Drosophila melanogaster: one gene and its partners. The protein of the gene in region 1 interacts with the protein of each later gene in a pairwise test. Each region holds a gene or a part of one and is shown in the gene's direction. Other genes may lie near its edges. The genes, in order: CG13627, PolZ1, CG12645 and udt.

Region 1 (6,809 bases):
CGGCAATGTGTGCTAAATAAATTGTATAAATAATGCAAACCCAAAAAAAAAAAAAACAATGCAAATCATATTAATGTAGTTACATTTTTTTAGTTTTTACTCGCTATTTATATGAGGTATATTTACACAACGGAAAACGTAAAAGTAGACATAAATAAAACGTAAAAAGCGATAAAAAAAATTCATTAATTTACATTGAAATTAAAGTAAACTAAACCGAAATCAGAGCAGAAAGCATAAAATGACAAATTAGTTTAAAATGGTCCTGCAAAGGCAAAAACAACAAAAAATAAACAACATTTTAAATAACAAATTGAAGAGCTAAAAATGCATATTTTAAACATTTGTCTAAAACGCAACCGAAAGAAAAAACCAAAAGAAATGATAAATGTATGAAATAAAAGGTATAATAATAATATTATGTTGTTAATGTTTAAAAAACCTTGTTAAAAATAATATTTCAAAATAAAATATAAATACGGAAAAAAATAGCAAAGAAATTACCACCAAACTGAGAGCTTTATGAAAGTGAAATTTTGATTTATGTCCCAAAACTTTGGGCCGCCAAATACTGACCCAAAAAATGGCTGGCCGGGCGTTATAAAATTCCAATGACCAATTGCGTTTAGAAATTGGATGTCGCGCCTTGCATAAAATGCGACCAATTATTGGGGAGCGTTTCATAAGCATGTCTCATTATCATCGAAGGGCCTTTGGTATATGTACATCCGAAATGTGAAGCCTATCATACGGAATCCATTGGTTATGGAAATTGCATCCATTCGTTTTTGGGACACATCTGAATTAAGTTACATTACCATCAAATATCGCTTAAAATACAGCTCAAGCTTTTCTACGAAACCCTTAGCCCCCAATTGAGCTGACTTCCGTACAAAAACTAATTCGAAAAAGCTTTCACGCATTCCTTTGAGTCTTCGACGAGTTTAGCCAGATATTTAATGCAGTTAAATATGAGTTTAAAATTATTGGAAAAATATTGGCAACATCTTAAAAAGTATGAAAATGTTATAATAATATCTTATTATTCCCAAAATATTGTTTGGTTCCGCTTTAAAATGTTTGCTATTTTCCCCACTGTGCCTGCCGCATTTCGTAATTTCAATCGGTGGCTCTGCTCCTGTTTGCTGCCCCAGCAAAAAAAAAGACTTAAAAAGTGGGGCCAACAGGTGACAGACGGCGGCATTGGGGGGCCATCTCTTGATCATGTGCGCCTGGTCCGCATTGCTTTTTAAGGTAAAGAGCGAGTGCTGACTTGCGACGACAACAAGTTCGCTGCTTAAGTCTTTTGTTTGGCGCCGTCTCTTTCGCTCCTTTCTTTCGCCGGCCAAGAACAGTCAATGGGAAAACACTTTCGTTGCGATTAATCGGCCACTTGCTGGCAATTCATGTAGCTGCTGGTCGCGTGCTGCGCTTTATCCACTGCAAACTAGTTTTATTTGTTGGCTTTTTATTTATTTTATTTTTTTTTTTTTGTATTTCATTCGGCGCCAGAGTCAAGAAAATCCGACCACTTTCTTCAGTGCGCACTTCCAATGCGAGTCGTCACTCCATTCCAGTGGAACTCCAGCGGATGGGCACATGGTTTTTGTCCGCCACCAGCGACCAACTAACAGTCAGTTGTCTTCGCGACTTGAACAGGTGCGGACGTCGCTGCTCCTCGAATTTATATTCGAAACTCTTTACAAATCTTTTGTGCGTGCAGTTTAAGATCGAAGAAAGCGCCGCGGCGCTCGTTGACATGAAGTTAATTGACGTGATTATATACCTAATTGCCATTTTGATCTTCATCTATTTGCTGCTGGAGTAGCAGAAGAAGCCAAAAGTTGCTCGACATTTGCCCCAGAGCTTTCTACAGTCTACCAGATCCATCAGCCAGCTACCCGACAATAAAACAACGAAAATCTCTAGCAAATCCGAAAGAAGATGAGGGTAAGTGATTCACGCGGGTATTGTGAGTTTGTTGGCCACAATTAGCGGTTATTAAAAAGTCTCTCACTGCGCACAGCATAACACAATAATGGATTGGCTTTAATTTCTATTGCAAATTCAATGGCATTTCTTCTTCTCATCGGCGATCAACGACTTCAGACTGAGATTGGCATTCAAATTTGGTATCACCTTCACCTTCGCCAGCAAAGCCAGCAAATTGCAATCGCTGCACAATGAAGCTGTAGCTTCTTCAATTGAATTGAAGTCGTCGGAATATTTGTCAAATTGCAAGGTGGCCGGCAAAGCGAGCACTTTCATTTGCAATGGGAGCACTTGATGCGCCAAGTTTCGCCAAGATCCAGACAATGGATGGCTTTACGTGCACCAATTGCATCGCACACTGTGAGTTGCAAGCTGCAAACTGTGAGGCACAGGCGGCTGCCTCAATGTGCAGCGGGCTTGAAAATAAAATGCTTGCCGCTAAAATAAAAGTTGCATTTCGAGTTGCAATTTGGGTTAACCACACCGTTGTTTATGGTCGACGCTGTGGCGACAGCCCGCTGATCAATAGTTCCGCCTAGGCCGTTGGCAAAAATCCTTTGTCAGGTTCAATGGCACTGCCGGCCAAGCCCAAAAGGAAACCCGAAATTATGCGAATTCCATTTGGACTTTCGTTGAACGGGTTATCCGCCGTCGCCGTGGGCCATTCCCTGCCAGACTTTTCAGTGTTTGGCATCGGGCACCCGTCTCCTGGCAGCAGTTCATTCACCAGCAGGCCGCCCCTGGTATTTGCATATGATTATGATGCATGTTGCAATGGCGACAAACTAACTAACTTACTAACTAACCACTCCATAAACAATAAGCCACCAATTTTGTGGCAATTACCCCGATCACCGCCGCTGCAGTCAGTTTCAGTTGCAATCGGCAATCCGTTTAAGCAAACGCAGCACGTAATCAATAACTATACGTATTGGACTCGCCTAGGCATTTCACCTCTTGATTGACGTCTGGCTAACGGCACACCGTATTGCCATTGTCATTGCCGCCGCTCCGGTGGCTCCAGTGGCTCTGCTGGTGCGCTGCCCAGGTGAAATTTCAATGTCCAGTGGCCGCCTCAAATTACCCACTTCCCCTTCCATCGACGAGACTAAAGAGACCCATGCCAGCCGCGCTGAAGAGGCACATACTCATTCTTTTCAAGGAATAACATGCATTTCATTTTAATGGTTCCTATATATGTTTCTATAAAAATCTGACATTTTACGCCTTAATAAATTTATTAGATGCATGATATGTATTTCTTTCTTCGTTATTGTGTTATACCTAAACTAATAGAGCCATTCCCTTTAACCTATATAAAATGCATGAAAAATCCAAAATACTCGTATATAACGTATAAGGTAGGCTGTAAGTTTCTAAAGCCAATTTCAATGAAAGTGTCACCAAATGAGTCAGTGATGCATTATACCCGCCGAATTGTAAACAATGCGACAGTAAAATTTATAGAACGAAGACATTTCGATGACGGACTTTTCACTTTCATTCTATGGCATTGTGGACAGAAAGTTTAATCAGCCATCGAAGCGGGGAAAATGGGCAAAGTATTATGGCATACCCGTATAAATATATATGTATGTATATTTATAAATGCGAAGCTACTTTGTTTGGCTCGTTTGCTTAAGCAGCTTTGGTTAAGTAGCCAATGGCAGGCGACGTGATAAAATTTTAGAAAACCGCCAATTTGTTCAAATTAAGGCCATTACAGTTTTGTTGCTGTCCAGCGATTACAAGACCCTCCTCCTTCCTCACCGCCCCTTTTTTTCTTCTTCGCCTTTGCCGGGCTTAGAAAGTTTTTATTTCTTTCGGCGTTTTGTTCGATGTCTGTATGTACGAGTAATTATGTTTTTGATTTAATGGTCTTTGACATTGTCCCATCCCATCCTCGCCAGCCATTTCTGCTGTTCGCACTGCTCCTGGCGCTGGCTAACTGCGAGCAGCGTCCACTGGTTTTCACCAACTGGCCACCGAAGAGCTCCAAGCAGCTGAGTCGTCCCGCCATTGGAGCTGGAGGTCCTGGATCCGCTGGAGCGCCTGGAAAGCAGCGCACGCTGGTCGTCCAAATACGCAGCGATCAACCGGTGCCCTTGGTACTGAAGGGTCGTCCTGGACATGGAGCGCACAGCCATGCCGCCCATCTGGCCCATCCGCATTCCGTGCATCCTGCACATGTCCTGTCGCACGCCCATTCACATGCCCATCTACACTCGCATCCGCTGATCCATGTGCCACATCAGTACCAGCATCAGCACCTACGCGGACCACCTCGTCCCATGAAGCTGAGTGGTCCGTCGCCCGTGTACCTGAAACCAGCTGGATCTCTAAGGAAACCACTGAAGATCAAACTGAACAATGTGAAGCCCAAGACGAAACCCACATTCGGATACGACAAGCCCTTTAAGTACGAGAAGCCCACTGCTGTGAGCTACAGCGAGCTGCAGAATCTGCCGGTAAGTGGAGTCCATTGAAAATGTCCTGCTCTTAAGATATCCTTATACTGCACATGCCCCCCACTCCCCTGAACATATAACATAACTCCATTCATGCTGATCCCCCACAGCTGGACACGCACAACAACTTCAACACCGAGCACTTTGCACCCATTTACACGGTACCCGCACCGAACCTGGCCGACAATCACCTGGACGTGGAGGAGGGTCATCTTGACACCTCCTACCTGTACAAGCCTCCTTCCCAGACCCAGATCCAAACACCATCCTCCTCAGCCCGTCCCCAGACATATTTGCCACCGAAGTACAGTGTGCATGAGGACGAGACCAATGACCAAACCATTCGTGATCCCATTTCGGGTTCGCAGAAACTCTTTGCCCCAGATCCGGATCCCTCGCTGCCCACCACCAAGATTCGCCCCGCCACCGAATCTTTCAATACGCCCAGCAACAACAAACCGCTGCCCGCCGACGTCCAGAGTAACCATCTGCCAGCCCAGCCATTGGTTCAGATTGTGGGAGCCCAGACGGCAGCCCAAACGGCGCCAGAGATCTATCCCATTCAGTATGCCCAGCCGGCGGTTCACTCCCAGTCCTTTATCGCCGCCATTCCGGCTGCCCACATTCCCATCTATAATCCCACCTACCTGGTGACGCAGTCCAACCAACTGTACTCGGCCCACAAGCAGCAGCTTTTCAAGCCCAGCTCGGAACCGGTGGTGGAAACGGGTTACGTGAACGCCGATCTCACCCAGGAGGTAGCCAGCAATGGACAGATACTGCAGGCAGCCAAGGATCCACATCACAACATCCATCCTGTACTTGATTCGGCGCCACAATATGCTGCTCTTATTGCCGCTCCGGCACTGGGTGATCCCAATGAGGGTGCCTACGAGACGGCCTCCTTCCACCTGCCCAATGTGGCGTCAGCGGTCACTGCCTCCGTTCCGGAAGGTGGCTTCGTGGTGTCCAACTTCTATGGCCATGCCCACGACTCTTCCCAATTGCTGCAGGCCTACGCAGAGGAGGAGGCACGTCGACAGCAACTGGAAACAGAGCAAGCCGCCATTGAGCTGCAAAAGCAGCAGCAGTTGCATCTGGAGGAGCTTAAGGCGCAGGCCCAGGAGCAACAGCAGCAGCATCAGCTGCATCTGGAGGAGCTGAGGGCTCAGGCGCAGTACCAGCAGCAGCAACAGCAGCAGTTCGAGGAACTGCAGGCACAGGCACAGGAGCAACACTTGCAGCAGCAACACCAGCAGCATCAGTTGCAGCTCTTGCAATTGCAGCAGCAGCAACAGCAGTTGCAGCAACCAGTGCAGCACCATCCGCCGCAGCAGCTGCAACAGCAGCAGCAGCAGCAGGTGGCTCAGGATCCAGCAGCAAGTGCATTCGAGGAGCACCAGCGATTGGTGCAGCAGCAACTTGGCGCCAACACGCCACTTCGCATCTTTGTGCCCGACGAGGAGGCCGCCGAATCGGTAGGTAAAATTAGACAAGAAATTCTTCCGTATGCTAACATTTGAGACTTTCCTTGTATAGCGACTGCAAAAGAGATCGGATGATGTGAAAAAGGGCACGGTGGAGGATGTGTCCAGTGCGGGTCGGAACGACGGCGACAGCGAGGAGTCAGCCAAAGATTTGTTCGAGGTATCCACCTCCGTCGAAGTGGCCGGCGAGCATCTCACGGCCAGCAGTAATTAGTTAACGCACTTTTAGTCTTCGACGCTGTTCAAAAATATTTATTTACACACTCATTTGTAAAAAACGCATTCATGTAGCGAGCAGTCGGTAGTTAATAAAAATAACCATTAATTTATTCAAATATTCGTTAGCGTTCTTTTTGAATGGATATAAGTTTTTGTGTTATCGATACATTGTAATGCTGGTGAGATAAAAATACAACTGCACTCTGGTCACACTCATGACAAGTAAAAACACATTTTACCAAAAACATTGTTGTGATTGCACATTTTTCGTGATTTAACTAAGAATTAGAGCCTGATCTACAAAATGATTATTCCAATCCGTTGTTTCACCTGCGGCAAGGTCATTGGCAACAAGTGGGAGTCGTATTTGGGTCTCCTGCAAGCGGAATACACCGAAGGGTAAGTCACGCGGGAAAGTCTCCTTTCCACGCCGCATTTCATCATATAATATATATATATTATATCTTACAATCCAATCCCAGAGATGCCCTGGATGCTTTGGGTCTAAAGAGGTACTGCTGCCGTCGCATGCTCCTGGGCCACGTGGATCTTATCGAAAAACTGCTCAACTATGCTCCTCTGGAGAAGTGAACGGCACAATGGAAACCATCCAAACTGGACTTGGGAATAAAAACTCTAGATT
Region 2 (7,834 bases), on another chromosome or scaffold:
CACTGCATATCTCAGCAAGTCCGCCCGATATAACCTTCACACGCCCTTGGGCTTACACAAGCAACGTTCTTCATTCGATGCACAAGTTTTATTTTTCAAATAGCTGGCATTTAAATACAGTAACAGGGCGATACTTTATTCAACAACAATAAATATGTAGCTTTGCGTAATTATGGCTATTTTGTGCATTTGAAAAAAAAGCATCCTCAATTGCGCCCCTTGCGGATTATGCAACAGTGATTCCCGACCAGCTGCTGGGCGCCGGGTTTGTACGATAGTTTTGGCTAGTTTAGTCCTTGCTCTGCATATACTTGATCAGGTCGATGACGCGGTTGGAGTAACCGAACTCGTTGTCGTACCACGAGATTAGCTTGACGAACTTATCGTTCAGCGAAATGCCAGCCTTGGCGTCGAACACAGACGAATGGGTGTCGCTGAAGAAGTCGGTGGAGACCACCTCCTCATCGGTGTAGCCCAGGATTCCCTTCAGGGGTCCCTTGGAGGCCTCCTCGACCTTAGCCTTGATTTCGTCATAGGTGGCTCCCTTGCCCAAGCGGACGGTAAGATCCACAACGGAGACATTGGGCGTGGGCACGCGGAAAGCCATGCCGGTCAGCTTGCCGTTCAGGGCGGGGATGACCTTGCCCACAGCCTTGGCGGCTCCGGTGGCGGCCGGGATGATGTTCTGGGCGGCGCCACGTCCATCGCGCCACAGTTTGCCAGAGGGACCGTCGACGGTCTTCTGGGTGGCAGTGGTGGCGTGCACGGTGGTCATCAGACCCTCGACGATCTCGAAGTTGTCATTGATGACCTTGGCCAGGGGAGCCAGGCAGTTGGTGGTGCACGAGGCGTTGGAGACCACCTTCATGTCGGGGCTGTAGGCGTCCAGGTTAACGCCGCACACGAACATGGGCGCATCGGCGGATGGGGCCGAGATGATGACCTTCTTGGCGCCGCCCTTCAAGTGGGTGGACGCCTTGTCAATGGTGGTGAACACTCCGGTGGACTCCACCACATACTCGGCTCCAGCACTGGCCCAGTTGATGTTGGCCGGGTCGCGCTCGCTGAACACGGTGATCTTCTGGCCGTTCACCACCAGGAATCCGCCCTCAGCCGCAACGGTGCCCTTGAAACGACCGTGAGTCGAGTCGAATTTAAACAGGTAAACCATGTAGTTGACATCGATGAAGGGATCGTTGACGGCCACCACGGAGGCGCCCTTATCGATGGCGGCGCGGAGCACCAAGCGGCCGATGCGGCCAAATCCGTTAATTCCGATCTTCGACATGGCTGAGTTCCTGCTGTCTTTTCACTTTTACTCTCGTTCAGTTTCAGTTCGCTATTACGACTGCCGCTTTTTCCTTTTCCCGGAGCTTTTTTCGCAAATTAGGAGAATGGCGCTGCGATGGCGGGGGAGGGTTGATGAGTATTTCGCTAGCTTTCTGCGTAGGTCACACTTAAATAAAGCTAATGTGAAATAAATCGATTAGAATTCCATTTAAAACTTTAATTTTTACAAAGGGTTTGATTATATAAGCGCCTTAAAAAGAGCCTCTAACAACTAATGATATATATGGGTTGTAGGACCCTTTACGTAATTAAGTTTATACAAAAATTAGCATTGTCAAGTATAAAATTCCTTCATCTTGCACTAAAGTTTTTCTTAACATTGTTGCCAAGTTAGTTCTTTAAGTTCTAGAGCTCTTCTTTCAATTTAAAAATATTTATTTTACGTTTTTGCCCTTAGTTTGAATTCAAAAAGCAACAATCGATAGATCGATACTTTTCGATACATGGTCACTCTAGTTTGAATTGAATTGACAACAAATAGCTCTGCGAAAACGAATCTGAGTTTTGGCGAAAATGGCAGCCGCAGGAGAGGCAATCGATGGAGTCTACTCCGTCCGGCTGGTCATCGCGGATTTCTATATGGAGAAGCCGCAGTTCGGAATGGATCCGTGCTATTCGGAGCTGCGCGGCAAAGAAATCAAGCGGGTGAGCCGGTCTATTTCACCACAGTAAAAACTGGTATAACGATCCATTCCACTTCCAGGTGCCAGTGATTCGAGTGTTTGGCGGCAACTCCAGAGGCCAGAAGACCTGCATGCATGTACACGGAGTTTTCCCCTATCTATACATTCCGTATGACAAGAAGGATTTTGAGTCCCTGGAGCGGGGCATCCTGCAGATGGCCATGCACCTGGACAAGGCCATCAACATATCCTTGGGTCAAGGCAGCTCCAACGCCCAGCATGTGTTCAAAATTCAGCTGGTCAAGGGCATGTGAGTTCTTTCTGGACGACTTCTTGGCGTAAATCTCTAACCGACCTCTCTTTACAGACCCTTCTATGGCTACCATCGAGTGGAACACCAGTTCCTCAAGATCTACATGTTCAATCCCCGGTTCGTACGCCGCGCCGCCAACCTTCTCCAAAGCGGCGCCATTCTGAGCAAGAACTTCAGTCCGCACGAGTCGCATGTGCCCTACATTCTGCAGTTTATGATCGACTACAATCTGTACGGTATGAGCTATGTGCATGTCCCGCTGGAGGTTCTCAAGTTCCGGCGCAACCATGACGATGACGGCAAGCTGGATACATCATCTATTTAAGTTCCTAACTAACCCGTAACTAACCCTTTAGTAATCCCCTATGCAAATGTCAAGCAAGCGCAGCTTCTGGACATCACAACCGCTAAGAAAGTGGCCTGCAGTGCTTTAGAGGTGGATGTCAGCTCGAACTTCATACTGAATCGGTTCCAGCTGGTGGCGAAGAGTAAGAGCAACCACACTAACCCCGGCATCGAGGCCATCTGGAATGATGAGAAATTGCGCCGACAGAAACTTGTCGAGAAGCACACCGATGCTGGCGATGAGGAGAAGGCTGAAGCGGTAATCCGGGAATACATCTTGTATTGATAAATCCTACAGCCTTGTCCATCCATCGTAGGTGCCAGTATTGGAGTTACCGCCAACACAGGAGCGGCATCAAATTGAAATCGCCGAAAGCGATATCTTCTACCGCACCGCTCTGGAGAGCAAGCTGATGACACTGGAGCAGTCCACACTGTCCGAGCAAACGTTGTCGGATCAGACAATCCTTCCCCAAGCAACCATGCAGACCACCATGCCCGGCACAAAGGCACAGAAACGCAGGTTTAACTTGCAAAAACTTCTAGCCAACGCCGTTTATCCGGAGGAATGCTCACAGGATCAGCAGCAACTGCTGGTTAATGCTTCCTTCATACAAAACCATGTTACCTGCGGCTACAGCAGCAGTGTCAGTTTGTCAACCTCCAAGGATGAGTCCGATGACTTGGACGAAACTGTAGTGGATGAGGAACTAATACTGAGCCTCACACAGCCTCATGGAGCGATACCCCATGATGCCACCTGTGAGTACACGGTTGCCAAAATTACAACTCGCACTTTGGTATAAACCAGTTGTTTTCTCCTTGCTTCAGTGAGGGAGGAGGATTTGGAACTTTTGGACGCGTTGCAGCTGTTGGAGGAGCAGAATGAAAGTGAATCGCATGTGGACTTAGACAGTTCGTTGGCTCCATTGTCGCAACATAAAAAGTGTGAGTTGTTGTGAAATGGAGTTGTTTTTTAATAAATGTTTTACACTGATCTCTTTTTGTAGTCGAACTTACACCCGAATTGTTGGACAAGGAGACCGCAGCTACTGCTGCTCTTTTCGACGAAGATGTTGACTCCGACGAGGATGCCGACCAAGAAACCCGACATGACTTCTCTACCGTCCTAGACGATGTCGATGAGTTGTTGCTTAAGTTAACACAAAGTCAGCCTGCGGAATCGAAGGAACTGAAAGCATCTAGTAAACTGCCCCAAATTGATGGTGCTGATGATCGCCTACAAAGGACCCCCATTAAATCGATCAGCTCTAAGTCAAAGTCAAGTCCTTCAAAGACTCCAACAACGCCAATAGGTCAGAAAAGTCTTCCCAAATCGCCACGTACTCCGAAAACCAGTGCAGCCAAGAAATATGCGCCGCTGGCTTTGACAATTGGAAGCAGTTCATCAAAGAGTGGGTAGAATTGATAACGATCACACGAATTTTTTTTGCAATCATAACCAATTGCAGAAAGCAACGATGAATTCGCAGGGAGACCATCTAATCCACGCCTCAGTTTGCAGCTAGACCAAGGAACCGGAACGGGAACACTTCGGTAATCAAATTCTTTGTTTTCATCATATGTACCAACATTTCTATGACCAACATTTTTGTTCGTAGGCCAGAAATCTCATTGCGCAAAAAACTAGCCATGTCGGAGATGCGACGGAAAAGTTTCGAGGACAGTTTTGTGCTCTTAAAGAACGAGTATGGTTAACTGATATCCTTTATGGCAAGGCGATTTATATTATTGTTTTCCCGATAGTTGTACTCCAGTTAGGAGTACCAGACGATCAACTAGCAATCTGGACAAAACACACATTATTTGTTCCCTTACGCCGAGGGACAGAAATCCTGGCTTGAGCGACATGTTCGAAACAGAGGACGGCAAGCAATTACCACCAAAGAAAGTAGTAAGAAAGACGCGATGGAGCACTCGGAATCAAGATATAGAAAGTCTACCCAAGGCCGGTTGTGAGATAGAGAGACCCCACAGGTCAGAAGGAAGTGCCTTGGATGAGCTGAAGCCGCGTCGCAGTGCTCGCCATAAGGTTAATTCGGCAAATCCAGATGAGTGTTCCAGCGAAATACAAACAACTGGGCCACGAGTGACGACTACAAGTTTGGATAGACCTCAAAAGAAAGCCAGACTATCCCAAAGTCCCAAAGAAAATACTAAAACAAGCATGAATGGAACTGTTGCATTGGAAAAAGCAACAAAAGATAGTTCATCTAACTCAGAGAGTCCGCATCAGCAGGAAAACTCTGTTTCTGAACAAATCGAATATCTCGAAAGTAAACCAAAAAAGTCTGATGAAACTGCACGAAGCTGTGACGAAAAGTTACAACGTGAGCTAATTCCACAGGAACCAGCTGGTATTTCGCCTGGAGATTCAGCAAACTCCACGGAGGAGATCACATTTAGTCCATGCCATGATGAGGCTATCGAATCCGACACGGAAAGCGATTATATAGTCACCAAACTTCGTAAAACACCCAACTTGAAACGCCTTCGATGGAGCATTCGGTCGGAGTTGCTGAACAAACAATTTACTCCCAGTTCAGGCATAAGACCCCCTGAGACTGAGACCACTCCTCAGCTAAGTCCCAAAAGCAATGAGAGCAACACACCGGAGCTGATGCGAAGTTTCTATGAGCATTCGCTGATTGTGAACAGTCCGTCGGTCTTCAGTGACTTCTTGGATAGCCCCGAGATACATATGGATTCTCCTAGGTCTGCTCCTCCATCTCCCGATAGCAACTCGTTCGTGATTGCCCCCTTGGAGCTGCCTCCATCCTACGATGAAGTGGTTAGCGGTAGCCGTAAAATGGACATACCCGAGTACGAGTTCCAAAAGCCATACTACAGCAATCCCTCCGATGTGAGCAAGGTGACGGAGGTGGGCTTCCTGGTGCTCCACATTCCGGGGAACAAGCTAAATGACTGTGATCCCTTCCAGAGCATACTGGGCAATGATCGTGGCCTGGCCTCCTGGCGTCGTCGGCAACTGATAGCCATTGGTGGCCTGGCAATGTTGCAGCGACATCGGGGAGAACAAAAAGTACGGGAGTATTTCAGCACGCAACAAAGAATAGCAATCGAGCCAGCACAACTAGCACCCACCTGGCAGGAAGCCAAGATCTGGTTGAAAGCCAAGGAACTCCTTCGTCAACGAGAGGAACCAAAAAAGTCCTCTGATGACATAGACAGCCCCATCAAGATCAAGCGGCAGAAGATCACTATGATGCTGCAGGCTGAGGAAGGCGATGGCGGAAGTGGCGATGAAGATGCTGGTGAGGAACTCGATTGCAGTCTAAGTCTAACGCCCTTGTCCCAAGCTAAGGATAAATGCAAGGCAACCCCTACCAGTAGCAAAGCCAGAGAAACAGGAAAGAGTCGCCTTAAGCGCGGAACTAGGCTCAGCTTCATAGGAAGCCAGGACGAGGAACCACCAAGCTCGCAGTCCAGCGAACAGAGCGTCTCCAGTAGTGCGGCCCAGGCGGAGCTAGATCGTAGTTCCTTTCTGCGCCAGTTAGAGGGCAGTAGCCAGGATAGGCAGCACGACCTCAGCTTTGGACTTAGCCACGCTACCTTGGACAACACGTTCGGGTTCAAGGTTAATTTGGAGAATCTGCAGCAGGCCAAAGCCGACATTGATTGCAACCACCTGACAATCATAACGTTAGAGGTGTTTGTGTCCACGCGAGGTGATCTCCAACCAGATCCGATGCACGACGAGATTCGGTGTTTGTTTTATGCTATCGAACACAGTTTGCCGGATGAAAAGCTGCCTAGCAAAGCCTGCGGCTATATAATGGTGAACACTGTCCAGGATTTGCTAAGTGAAGGACCTTTTCATGGTATAGATCGCGATATTGAGGTGCAAGTAGTGACCAGTGAAGCGGAGGCATTTGAGGCGTTGCTGGCTTTGTGTGAACGGTGGGATGCGGACATATACGCAGGGTACGAAATCGAGATGTCCTCTTGGGGCTATGTGATTGATCGGGCCAAGCATCTGTGCTTCAACATCGCTCCTCTGCTGTCCCGAGTGCCCACACAGAAGGTCCGGGACTTTGTGGACGAGGATCGGGAGCAGTTCACCGATTTGGATGTGGAAATGAAGCTCTGCGGCCGCATTCTGCTGGACGTATGGCGCCTGATGCGCTCCGAGATTGCACTGACGTCGTACACCTTCGAAAACGTAATGTACCACATTTTGCATAAGAGATGTCCCTGGCACACTGCCAAATCCCTCACCGAATGGTTCGGCTCACCCTGCACCCGCTGGATAGTAATGGAATATTACTTGGAGCGTGTGCGTGGCACCTTAACTCTCCTGGATCAGCTGGACTTACTGGGACGGACTAGCGAAATGGCCAAGCTCATTGGCATTCAGTTCTACGAGGTGCTGTCGCGCGGCTCACAGTTTCGCGTGGAAAGCATGATGCTGAGGTGAGTGTAACCCTTGAGCGCAGGCAAAATATGTTGCATCCTCCCTGAACTCTCTGTCTTCATAGAATCGCCAAGCCAAAGAACCTGGTGCCACTTTCACCCAGCGTCCAGGCTCGCGCTCATATGAGAGCTCCCGAGTACTTGGCGCTAATAATGGAACCGCAGTCACGATTCTATGCCGATCCCCTAATCGTGCTTGATTTTCAGAGCTTGTACCCCAGCATGATCATCGCCTACAACTACTGCTTCTCCACGTGCTTGGGTAGAGTAGAGCACCTGGGTGGAAGTTCGCCCTTTGAATTTGGCGCGTCGCAGCTCCGAGTTTCGCGGCAGATGCTGCAGAAGTTGCTGGAGCACGATCTGGTTACTGTTTCGCCATGCGGCGTTGTGTTCGTGAAGCGTGAAGTGCGCGAGGGCATCCTGCCGCGCATGCTCACCGAGATCTTGGACACGCGCCAAATGGTCAAACAGTCGATGAAGCTCCATAAGGACAGCTCTGCACTTCAGCGGATCCTTCACTCACGGCAGCTGGGCCTTAAGCTGATGGCCAATGTTACCTATGGCTACACCGCCGCTAACTTCAGTGGCCGAATGCCTTCAGTGGAAGTGGGCGATTCTGTAGTTTCCAAAGGACGGGAGACCCTGGAGCGTGCTATCAAACTAGTGGAGAACAACGAGGAGTGGAAGGTGCGTGTCGTCTATGGCGACACGGACTCCATGTTCGTTCTTGTGCCGGGTCGAAATCGAG
Region 3 (3,808 bases), on another chromosome or scaffold:
ATATGTATATACACGTATATATGTATGTATATTTGTATATAAAAAAAAAGTGAAAGAGGCAGATTATATGGGCGGTGGTGAAAGCGTGGTGAAAAGTGGGCGCTGATGGAGATGAAGATACGACTGCTCCATTCAGCAGCTGTGAACGGTGAAAACCTTTTTGGCGCTAATTGCAATTACACGAAATATTATTTGCACACATTTTCAGCCAAAGCCGCAATCAGTGCGACAGAGAAGGTGCTTCTGCTAGAGAGAGCGAGAGAGAGAGAGAGAGAGAGAGAGAGAGCTATAGGCGGTCTGTGCGAAAATAAGCTAACAGTTTAATCAGTTGAACGAATGTTGAGCCAAATCCCAAGACCCCCAAAAAACGAAGGCCAATCGTCGGGATTATCGAGCAAGGAGTGGCCCAAATGAGTGCTCTTAATTTGAATGTAAGAATTTAATGAACTAAATGAACTGCCAGGAATAAATGTAAATAAATAAATAATCCAATAATAAAGATACGCCCCTGTTAACCTTTAACAACTAACTTATTTATGTAGCTCCATTTTTAAACCCTGATAGCTGACCTTTAGAATGCATAAATAGACAAATGTCAGGATCCATAATGGAATGCGAACCCTTTTACAGATTTATTTGCCCGCCTCATACATTTATTTGCGTACCCAAGTCAGCACCTGATACGCGAGTTGGTCCCCATTCACTCCGCCGCTGTCAAATTCAATTGCAGTTGCTATTCACAATTGTCTGGCATGTCGGCCGATAAGCCCACGGCATGGCACTCGGACCCCACCCCCCCTTAACCCCTTGACCCCTATTCAATCCCCTATCACACCCCCCCCCCCCCCCATTGGGCCCACAAACAGCGTGCAATAAATCAAACATCAAAGCGATGAGCCAACTTGAAATGGACTGCAAATTTATGCAGCGACAGCTCTCAGTGCCCCGATCCCAAAAAAACCCGATTCCCATTTGAATGGCAGATGGCGGAACAACAACAGCAGGAGTAAGCAAATCAAAGGTTGGCACACCCTGGAATTCATAAATAAAATTTAAGACCTTAAAAAAAAAACAGGCAAATTTAATATCAGGAAAGTTCAGGCATTTAACGGACAACGATAAATGTTAGTTTAAGCAATGTAAAGAAGAACGTTCCTTTTTTTTTTTTGGATAAACTAAAGGTATATTTTTTTACCTAATCCAGATATGTCAGTTATCCGTATGCAAATGAAAGTTTTCATTATAATTTGCCGTATACCTGTTTAGTTTATTTGCGCCTGTATACTATTTACATGCATGCGATAAAGTTAATTAAATGCAAAGTGGCAAACAGAATTTCATTCACATTTTTCCATCCTCATCGTGTCGTTGGAAAATATTGAAAAAACTTGAAGGAAAACAGAAAAACAAAAATGAATACGCAAACAGGAATACATTGTGGAAAACTCTATGCGAGAAATAGCAACACTATAAGATTTTGATTCATAACATTCTATGCAACTCGTTTTAAAGAGATATTTATACACTTCAAATAATTTTAAGAAATTTTTGTAAAAATATTTACGTGTATTTTTGAGCATTTGAAAATTTGTGTTGCCAGTGCAAGCGGTCAGCAGCACATATTGCAAAAGTTATGAACAGGAAATGAAACGGAAGCTGACAATATTCTCCAACGACGATGAAATAAAGGTGATTCAGCTAGACCATTTCCATTTCAAGCACTTTTTGACCAACTGTGGAGTTTTCTATTGGGGTGACTCGTTGATATCGCTAGCAGCTGGTTAATTGGCCCAGAATGTTTCACTATCATCGACAACTGTTTTTGGCTGGTTGTTTCTTTTTTGCCAAGGAATAAAAACCATCGTAGGGCGAAACTGGCCCAACAGAAGGGTTTGGAATGGCCGAAGAGAAGCATCGCATGTTGTTCCAAGACCAGGATCCCGGCCAGGATCTGCAGATAGAGCGACCCATGTCCTTGTCGCCATCGGAACCGCCGACCTACTATGATGCAATGCAAACGTTTACGATTCAGAATAATTTGGATTATTCCAACGATCGGCGAAGAACCCTTTTTGCAGAACCCCAACATCTAAGGTCCAGGGTGGAGGAAATGCCGATGCCGATGCCGATGTCCCAAACGAAAGACGAGGTGAGCGTACAATCGGAAGGATTAGCGGACAACAATAGCATCGATCATCGTGCAATGCCACCAGTGAGAAGTAAGTGCGATGGTAACTATGAACTGAACACTCATTCGATTGCATATTTTGAAATTGTGTATTGGCCAGATTTCTTTATCCTAAGCCCGCAACCCAAACTGGGTAGCCAGGCGATGGACATCGTGTGCCCAGCTTGTGGTCAACGGGGAGTCACCCGTTTGAAGAGGTCACCTAATGCTCGGACTAACCTTTGGGCCCTCTGCTTGTGCACTTTTGGGTGAGTTGGGTATTTAAATTAGTTTGAAAATTTTAACTAACTTTTAACCCAAAACGTTGTTAGCTTCAGAAGTGCTAAGTTTCAAGTACTTAACACTAAATATGAACAAAATGATGAGTAAACTTTCAAAAATCGTATGAAATAATGGAAATAGATAAAGTAACTTTCGATTTACATACCTCGAACTTTGATATACTCATATCCGTATATATGTATCTATGTTTTTGTTTTCAGTTGGTGCTGCTGCGCTTGCCTGTTTCCGTATCTATGGAATGGCTGCCGGACAACGAATCATTACTGCTCCGCCTGCGAGATCTTTCTGGGCGCACATTATCCGAGGAGCTGCTGCTGCTGCTGCTGCCGGCGGCGGTAGTCCGGAAATATCCTGCAGGATCGCAGCCGGAATCCGGCCGCTAATTGTGAAAGTTTTCCGTGTGTGCGAATAAAGCTGAGTGGGGCGGCACGCGCTTCTGACCGCAAGGACTTGGCGCTTATTCGCTTGTAATGAGTAACGCAGTGCCGGGCGCGACCGGAAATTGTGCGCCGTCAAATCGAATTGCCTACCTAAGCCCATCGTCCTTCGTCCTCAATCCGCAATCCACAATCCACAATCCTTTCAACATCGGACACCATACACCGATTACCATTGCCATGCTCTGTACTGAACTGCCCTGTCGCCCAAATGATGCATAACTGGCCTAAACAAATTGCCTCATCATCACTCCGTTTCGCACATCCTGCCAACGAGTGCTGGTTGTTGTGGATGCTGTTCGTTATTTGATACCCTGCAAAAAAAAGAAGAGAGTATTCAATTTAGATACAATTACTTAAATATAACAATAAAATTATAAATATGTCTAAGAAACTATTATGTAATTGGGCAAAAGGGCAAATGCAATCTTTTGCCAAGAACTTATATACCCGAAATCGAGAAGAGTGTCCCCAGAATTTGAACCATCCGCAGTTGTTTGGCCTCCAGTTGCGCTTTTTTGTTTTCGAGGTTTCTGCCTATTTCAGTGCTTTGCGCGGCTTTGTTCAATTTTTGGTACTGCAATTGGCCAGCGGTGGCAGCAAATTCAATTAGCGCCTCGTACGTTGCAGCCTTCAGCGCAACATGGCCTTCGACGAATGGGCCAAAAACCGTTACTGAAAGCCCAGCTATGGATGGATGGATTGACTAGGCCACAGCTGCGGGGCCGAGAAACAAAAGGACAGAGCTCGACAATTAGTCGGTTCACGGTGCCGCCAACAACAATAATGACCAAAAGAGCATTATGGCCGAGCTGGTGGAATAATGTGGAAGCTAAAACTCAATCGCATCAAGTATACGCCGCTTTGTCCACGCATCAGTTTATTATTGCTACTGCTGATG
Region 4 (4,571 bases), 950 kb from region 1:
TTGGTGTTCCAGTACATCTTCAAGCAGAGAATTATGCCCTTTTGTCAGCGCATGGGGGGGAGTTACTAGCCGACTACTTACCATTTCGGGCGGCAGATAGACCAGTGGTATGCGCTGCTCCAGAATGTCCAGGCTTTTGCACATCACGTTGTCCAGGCGCTGAATGGATGGCTCGAAGAGCTTGACCGCCGGCTGGATGGTTTCGTAGGCGGCCGAAATGGTGGCCTCCGCCGTCTCAAAATACCATGAGAATAGCCTATTGTTGTTCTTCACCTTATCGTAGATGGTCTCCACCCGCTTCACACTGGATTCCACAAGGGGAATGGAGCCGATGCGATCGATGGCCTCCAGATGGAGTCCACTGCCGCTGGTTGCAGTTGCTGGGTTCAAAGATTTAAAGTCGTATTATTAATGGGGGTTGACACTACCAGGCAGCGCGTGTCACTAACCCATTTGTGTTGGGATTTCTCGAGAAGATTCGGTTGAGATGCGAGAACTGTTGCTGTCGCCGGCTCAATTGATACTGGCAGGCCTCCGATCGAGCTGCTACCATATAGACTTGGCACACCAAATCGCCGCTGTCTGATCGCCGATCATGCTCGGAGTCCAAGATGACCTTTGCCAGCAGATAAGGCGTGGATGGAGGCACAAACACCGTTCACCTAGACGCTCCGCCGGACTTATCAGCAAACACGCCATTCGCACTAGTGTGGGACTCCAAAGTTCGAACGTACTATATGGGGACTGCAGCTTAGGAACTCCGTGCATGTGAATCACATTCCAGGAATATCTGTACAGCGATCATAATCGCACCATATATGACCCGATTAGCAGCGGTAATGGCGAAAATTGCTGTGCTAATTCCGCACAAGTGACGAAAAGGTTCAAACTGCAGTCCGTTGAATAATTGCGGGGGCGTTCTTCCTCGGGTTCGATGTGCCCGTTTCTGGGGCTCCAGACTCCATTGCCATTAACCCTAGACTGCAAAAAGCGTGTTTATTCAAATCTATATATAGATATGGAAACATTTTTTTTTATAAATTAAGCTTTATTAATAAATCTCATATCTAATTGTATTAAACGGCAATGTGTATGTAATAGCTCAACTAGTGCTAATTAAAAATTTAAACTTGAGGTTCAAGTAATAATATTTCATTACAAAATGTATGGTTGGGTTAATCTTTTACAGCTCTTTGTTGTCTGAGTACGTGTCATTAAGATTATAGAGTAAGTCTAAAAAGCGTTTTAATAGAAACGATTTTTCTTAGGAATTGTTAAAAGAGTTGATATTATATATTTGTATTAGCTATTGCATACAACGAAGTAGTTATGCTGCATACAGCATAAACTTGAGTCTAGATTATCCAGGAAAAGTCGTAAAAAAATACATATATGTAAATAATATTAATCTCTATTTTTAAGTTCAAAAAGTAACGCTCAATTTGATAAAGAGTGGATTAATAGCTATCAGCCAGTGCTGTGCAGCTAGCTCTTCGTTAAAGCCAGTGTTAGTAAGGTCGCCTTTGCCCATCATTGGTAATTTGTGTTTGTTGCGTGTTTTGCTATTGTTTCTGACTAAAACCGCCTTTGGTTGCTTCCATTTGAAAGTAAATTGTAATAAATATGTTTAGTTGTTAGTTCTGAGGACACCAAACACGCAATGCATTATTACCTGGCTGCTATCTGCCTGGTGGGCTTAATGGGCTCAGGTCAGTGATTCGATTCCCAAGCCACACCCAAGGCTCCAAGTGAATCATGTGAATTGGCCACCCGAAACTAAAGCCCATCCATTTTACAGCCCTCGGTCAGTACAACCTGGTGCAGAAGGACAACTGCATCATTCCAAAGATCCTGCAGGGATCGTGGTTCTCGTGGGAAACGGGCCTGCCCACGCTGACGGTGATCGACGCCACCTCGATGTCCAGCCGAGGCTACTGCATCAACTACATGCGCCACAAGGGCGACGAGTACTCATTTGTCTTCAAGGAGCGATCCAAGGACTGCTATCACTGTGTCAGGACCATCATCCGCACCCTTAATGTGTTCGAAAAGTTTGAGGGGCCCTGCGTGGGCATACCCGCTGGACAGGAACCCACCGTGGACTATGTGTGTCGTGGTGTTAAGGATGACCAGCAGTTGATAACGCTCTTTAACGAGAACTTTGTGCCCATCAACTGCCGATCGTCGCTGGAGGGAGTGTGGCATTTTACGTACCAGGTAAGATCAAAATAGATTCATAGATCACATAATTTGCACATGGTGCGGTTTAGTTAAGGGTCTAGAAACATATCCATTTTATGTTGATTAGTGATCTTGATTTGAACTTTTATTATAGAACCGATTCCGATTCACGGGCGTATGCGATAAGCCCGACGCTCGCATTCAGTCCTGTCAAACGGCAGGAACGCAGTTCCTCATCCAGAACCAGAAGTTCAACGTCACCTATCAGCAGTGCGAGGGTATGGAGGGCACATTCACCGGCACCGTGGAGTTCAGCTGCCTGGGCGATTGGTTTGTGGGCAAGAACCACTACTTTGCCGTGGCCAACACAAAGGAGTCGCGTAAGGATGAGAAGTACCGCTGCTTCCTTAAGAATCGTGACGATGATCTTTACGTGGGCGTTTCCATTACGGCCGAATGTAACACACTGAAGACGCCAGAAACGTCACCGGAGCGTCTAAAGCTGACGCCAGTGAAGGCTGAGTTTGTGGAACCCGGTTGCACGCTACCACAAAACTTTAGCGGAGAATGGGTGAACACTGCCAACATTGATGCCGATGTCTCGATCAGTGAGACCCACATAAACGAGACGTACTATCCGGATAAAGCTCGATACCGAAAGACAATCTATGTTTGCCGAGAGCGACGGGGTAATCGTGTGATGATGGCTCGCCTCACTGTCGACGGTTGCCAGAAGGATTACGTGTGCTTTGACTTTATGCCCCGCCACCACAACATCATTCGCTACCGCAAGGGTTTGGCTGTGATCAAGGACGATTTTAGTACAGTCTGCTCTTGGGTTCAGTTCCCCAATTCGGAGGCATGGAAATATGATCTGTTTCTTGCTCGAAATCCTGTGCCTGTTCGTTGCCCCGTTGCGGGAAAATTCAACTTTACGCAGCGAGGAGAGCATCCCTTCAGAACGAGGTTTGTAATGTTTTGCAATCGTAGCATGAAACGTATAATTAATGTGTATATTTCACAGAATTCTTGGTGGTGTCACTCTGAGTCCGCGTCCCGATATCCATTGCAAGCAAAACATCTCGGATTTATCGGTTTGCGATACAGATCAAAAGGAATTGGCGGTGGATGAAAACTATTGCCTGTCGGTGGATCACTTGGGTCGTCCCGTTGATATCTACAGTGATCCCGATTACCGCATGAAGTGCATTGGCTTCTGGAAGGAGAACCTCAAGTCCTACCTGATTACGTACGACGATTTGGATCCGCTGTCCAAGTATCGCTGCTGGGTCTATCAGCGTGCCGACCTCAACCGTGTCCTCATGTCGCAGGCTGTGGGCGCATTCTGCAAACTGGAGCAAGATGTGACCTCGTGGAACCACTCGGAGGGCGCTGCCGTAGCCATCGATGCCGTGGAGTACGAAAGGGAGCGTGACGACTGTCCCATGCACTTCGATGACGGATTGAATCCTTGGAAGCCGTCGGATGCCTCCAACATCATATTTGATTGGGACTTTTACCGAGCAGGAGCAGCGACACTAAAATTTCAACTGACTGGCCTCGTTATCGTGGTCTTAGTCCAGGTTAGGAGTTTATTAGCTTAATAATATCAAAAGTATTTTTTAACTATTCCATCCAACGAAATTTACAAAAATTTTACAACCAACATAAAGTCACTTTTAGGAGCAATTGCGTGCCTTAGAATGCGAATTTTAGAAAGTTTTAAGCAAATTTTAAACTTAGTTTGTAAGATCATCACAATTTTTACGTGTAACAGCCATTCCGTCCCAAACGAATCTCAAATGTATTGTGCAAATAATTAAAGCAGTTAAATAAATGCCTTGAACTAAATGTTTTCTTATTATTTATTACACCCTTTAATTGTTTGTTGAGTTCAAAATATTTTACTGGGCTTCCCTTATTATTGTGGGACAATATCTTGACCGCTACTGTTTACCGATAACAAATCGATGACAGCTGACTGCACTAGCCCAGTGCTGTGTAATTTTTTAGACAAATCGGCCCAAACCGAACGGAGCGATAGAGTTTTTATTTTGAGCTGAAAATTCTCAATATTTACACATCCCAACATGTCCCTCTCGTTGCTTCTGCGTGGCGCTGTCCGTTGCAATGGTAAGGACCCACTGGATGGCAAATCGCCTTGTTATTGGACGCAAAACAGCTTTCATTATATAACCAAACCGTTTGTTGGTATCCCAATTAGCCGCAAATCTTGTTAAGTCGGCTCGCATCACTCCCCTGAAGAGCTACTCCACCCTGGTGGCCAATGTCCAGCGGAAGGCGGTGGTCCAGCCCCTGGCCGTGGCCAAGATTGTAGCGGTAAGTGTTTAGAGTTGAAAAATTCAGTGGTGGCTAATCATACTAAATGG

Evidence for each region.
Region 2: the proteins of CG13627 (region 1) and PolZ1 interact in a two-hybrid assay, tested with the Drosophila melanogaster proteins (one large-scale study listed by BioGRID).
Region 3: the proteins of CG13627 (region 1) and CG12645 interact in a two-hybrid assay, tested with the Drosophila melanogaster proteins (one large-scale study listed by BioGRID).
Region 4: the proteins of CG13627 (region 1) and udt interact in a two-hybrid assay, tested with the Drosophila melanogaster proteins (one large-scale study listed by BioGRID).

Annotation. Positions count from the first base shown.
Region 1 is NT_033777.3:24,711,148-24,717,956, forward strand, and holds CG13627 (uncharacterized protein), read left to right. Parts: upstream 1-1,632; 5' UTR 1,633-1,759; coding exon of another isoform or gene 1,760-1,828; 5' UTR 1,829-1,944; coding exon 1,945-1,950; intron 1,951-3,636; exon of another isoform or gene 3,637-3,830; coding exon of another isoform or gene 3,831-3,836; intron 3,837-3,902; coding exon 3,903-4,460; intron 4,461-4,570; coding exon 4,571-5,938; intron 5,939-5,999; coding exon 6,000-6,161; 3' UTR 6,162-6,283; downstream 6,284-6,809. Other genes in the region: CG46316 (uncharacterized protein), read left to right, coding at 1,760-1,828; Polr2L (RNA polymerase II, I and III subunit L), read left to right, coding at 6,471-6,565, 6,649-6,757.
Region 2 is NT_033778.4:7,791,833-7,799,666, forward strand, and holds the start of PolZ1 (DNA polymerase zeta subunit 1), read left to right. Parts: upstream 1-1,792; 5' UTR 1,793-1,863; coding exon 1,864-1,995; intron 1,996-2,053; coding exon 2,054-2,283; intron 2,284-2,340; coding exon 2,341-2,585; intron 2,586-2,642; coding exon 2,643-2,890; intron 2,891-2,948; coding exon 2,949-3,393; intron 3,394-3,462; coding exon 3,463-3,579; intron 3,580-3,641; coding exon 3,642-4,046; intron 4,047-4,103; coding exon 4,104-4,188; intron 4,189-4,253; coding exon 4,254-4,340; intron 4,341-4,398; coding exon 4,399-7,086; intron 7,087-7,151; coding exon 7,152-7,834. Other genes in the region: Gapdh1 (glyceraldehyde 3 phosphate dehydrogenase 1), read right to left, coding at 290-1,288. UniProt on the Drosophila melanogaster protein: As the catalytic subunit of the DNA polymerase zeta complex, plays a crucial role in translesion DNA synthesis (TLS) and various DNA repair mechanisms. Lacks an intrinsic 3'-5' exonuclease activity and thus has no proofreading function.
Region 3 is NC_004354.4:10,151,715-10,155,522, forward strand, and holds CG12645 (uncharacterized protein), read left to right. Parts: upstream 1-1,897; coding exon 1,898-2,231; intron 2,232-2,288; coding exon 2,289-2,436; intron 2,437-2,615; exon of another isoform or gene 2,616-2,670; coding exon 2,671-2,809; 3' UTR 2,810-3,295; downstream 3,296-3,808.
Region 4 is NT_033777.3:23,760,195-23,764,765, reverse strand, and holds udt (undicht), read left to right. Parts: upstream 1-1,502; 5' UTR 1,503-1,536; exon of another isoform or gene 1,537-1,631; 5' UTR 1,632-1,660; coding exon 1,661-1,709; intron 1,710-1,798; coding exon 1,799-2,217; intron 2,218-2,335; coding exon 2,336-3,147; intron 3,148-3,205; coding exon 3,206-3,785; 3' UTR 3,786-4,029; downstream 4,030-4,571. Other genes in the region: Lsd-1 (lipid storage droplet-1), read right to left, coding at 1-17, 82-380, 450-453; SdhD (succinate dehydrogenase, subunit D), read left to right, coding at 4,272-4,314, 4,406-4,521.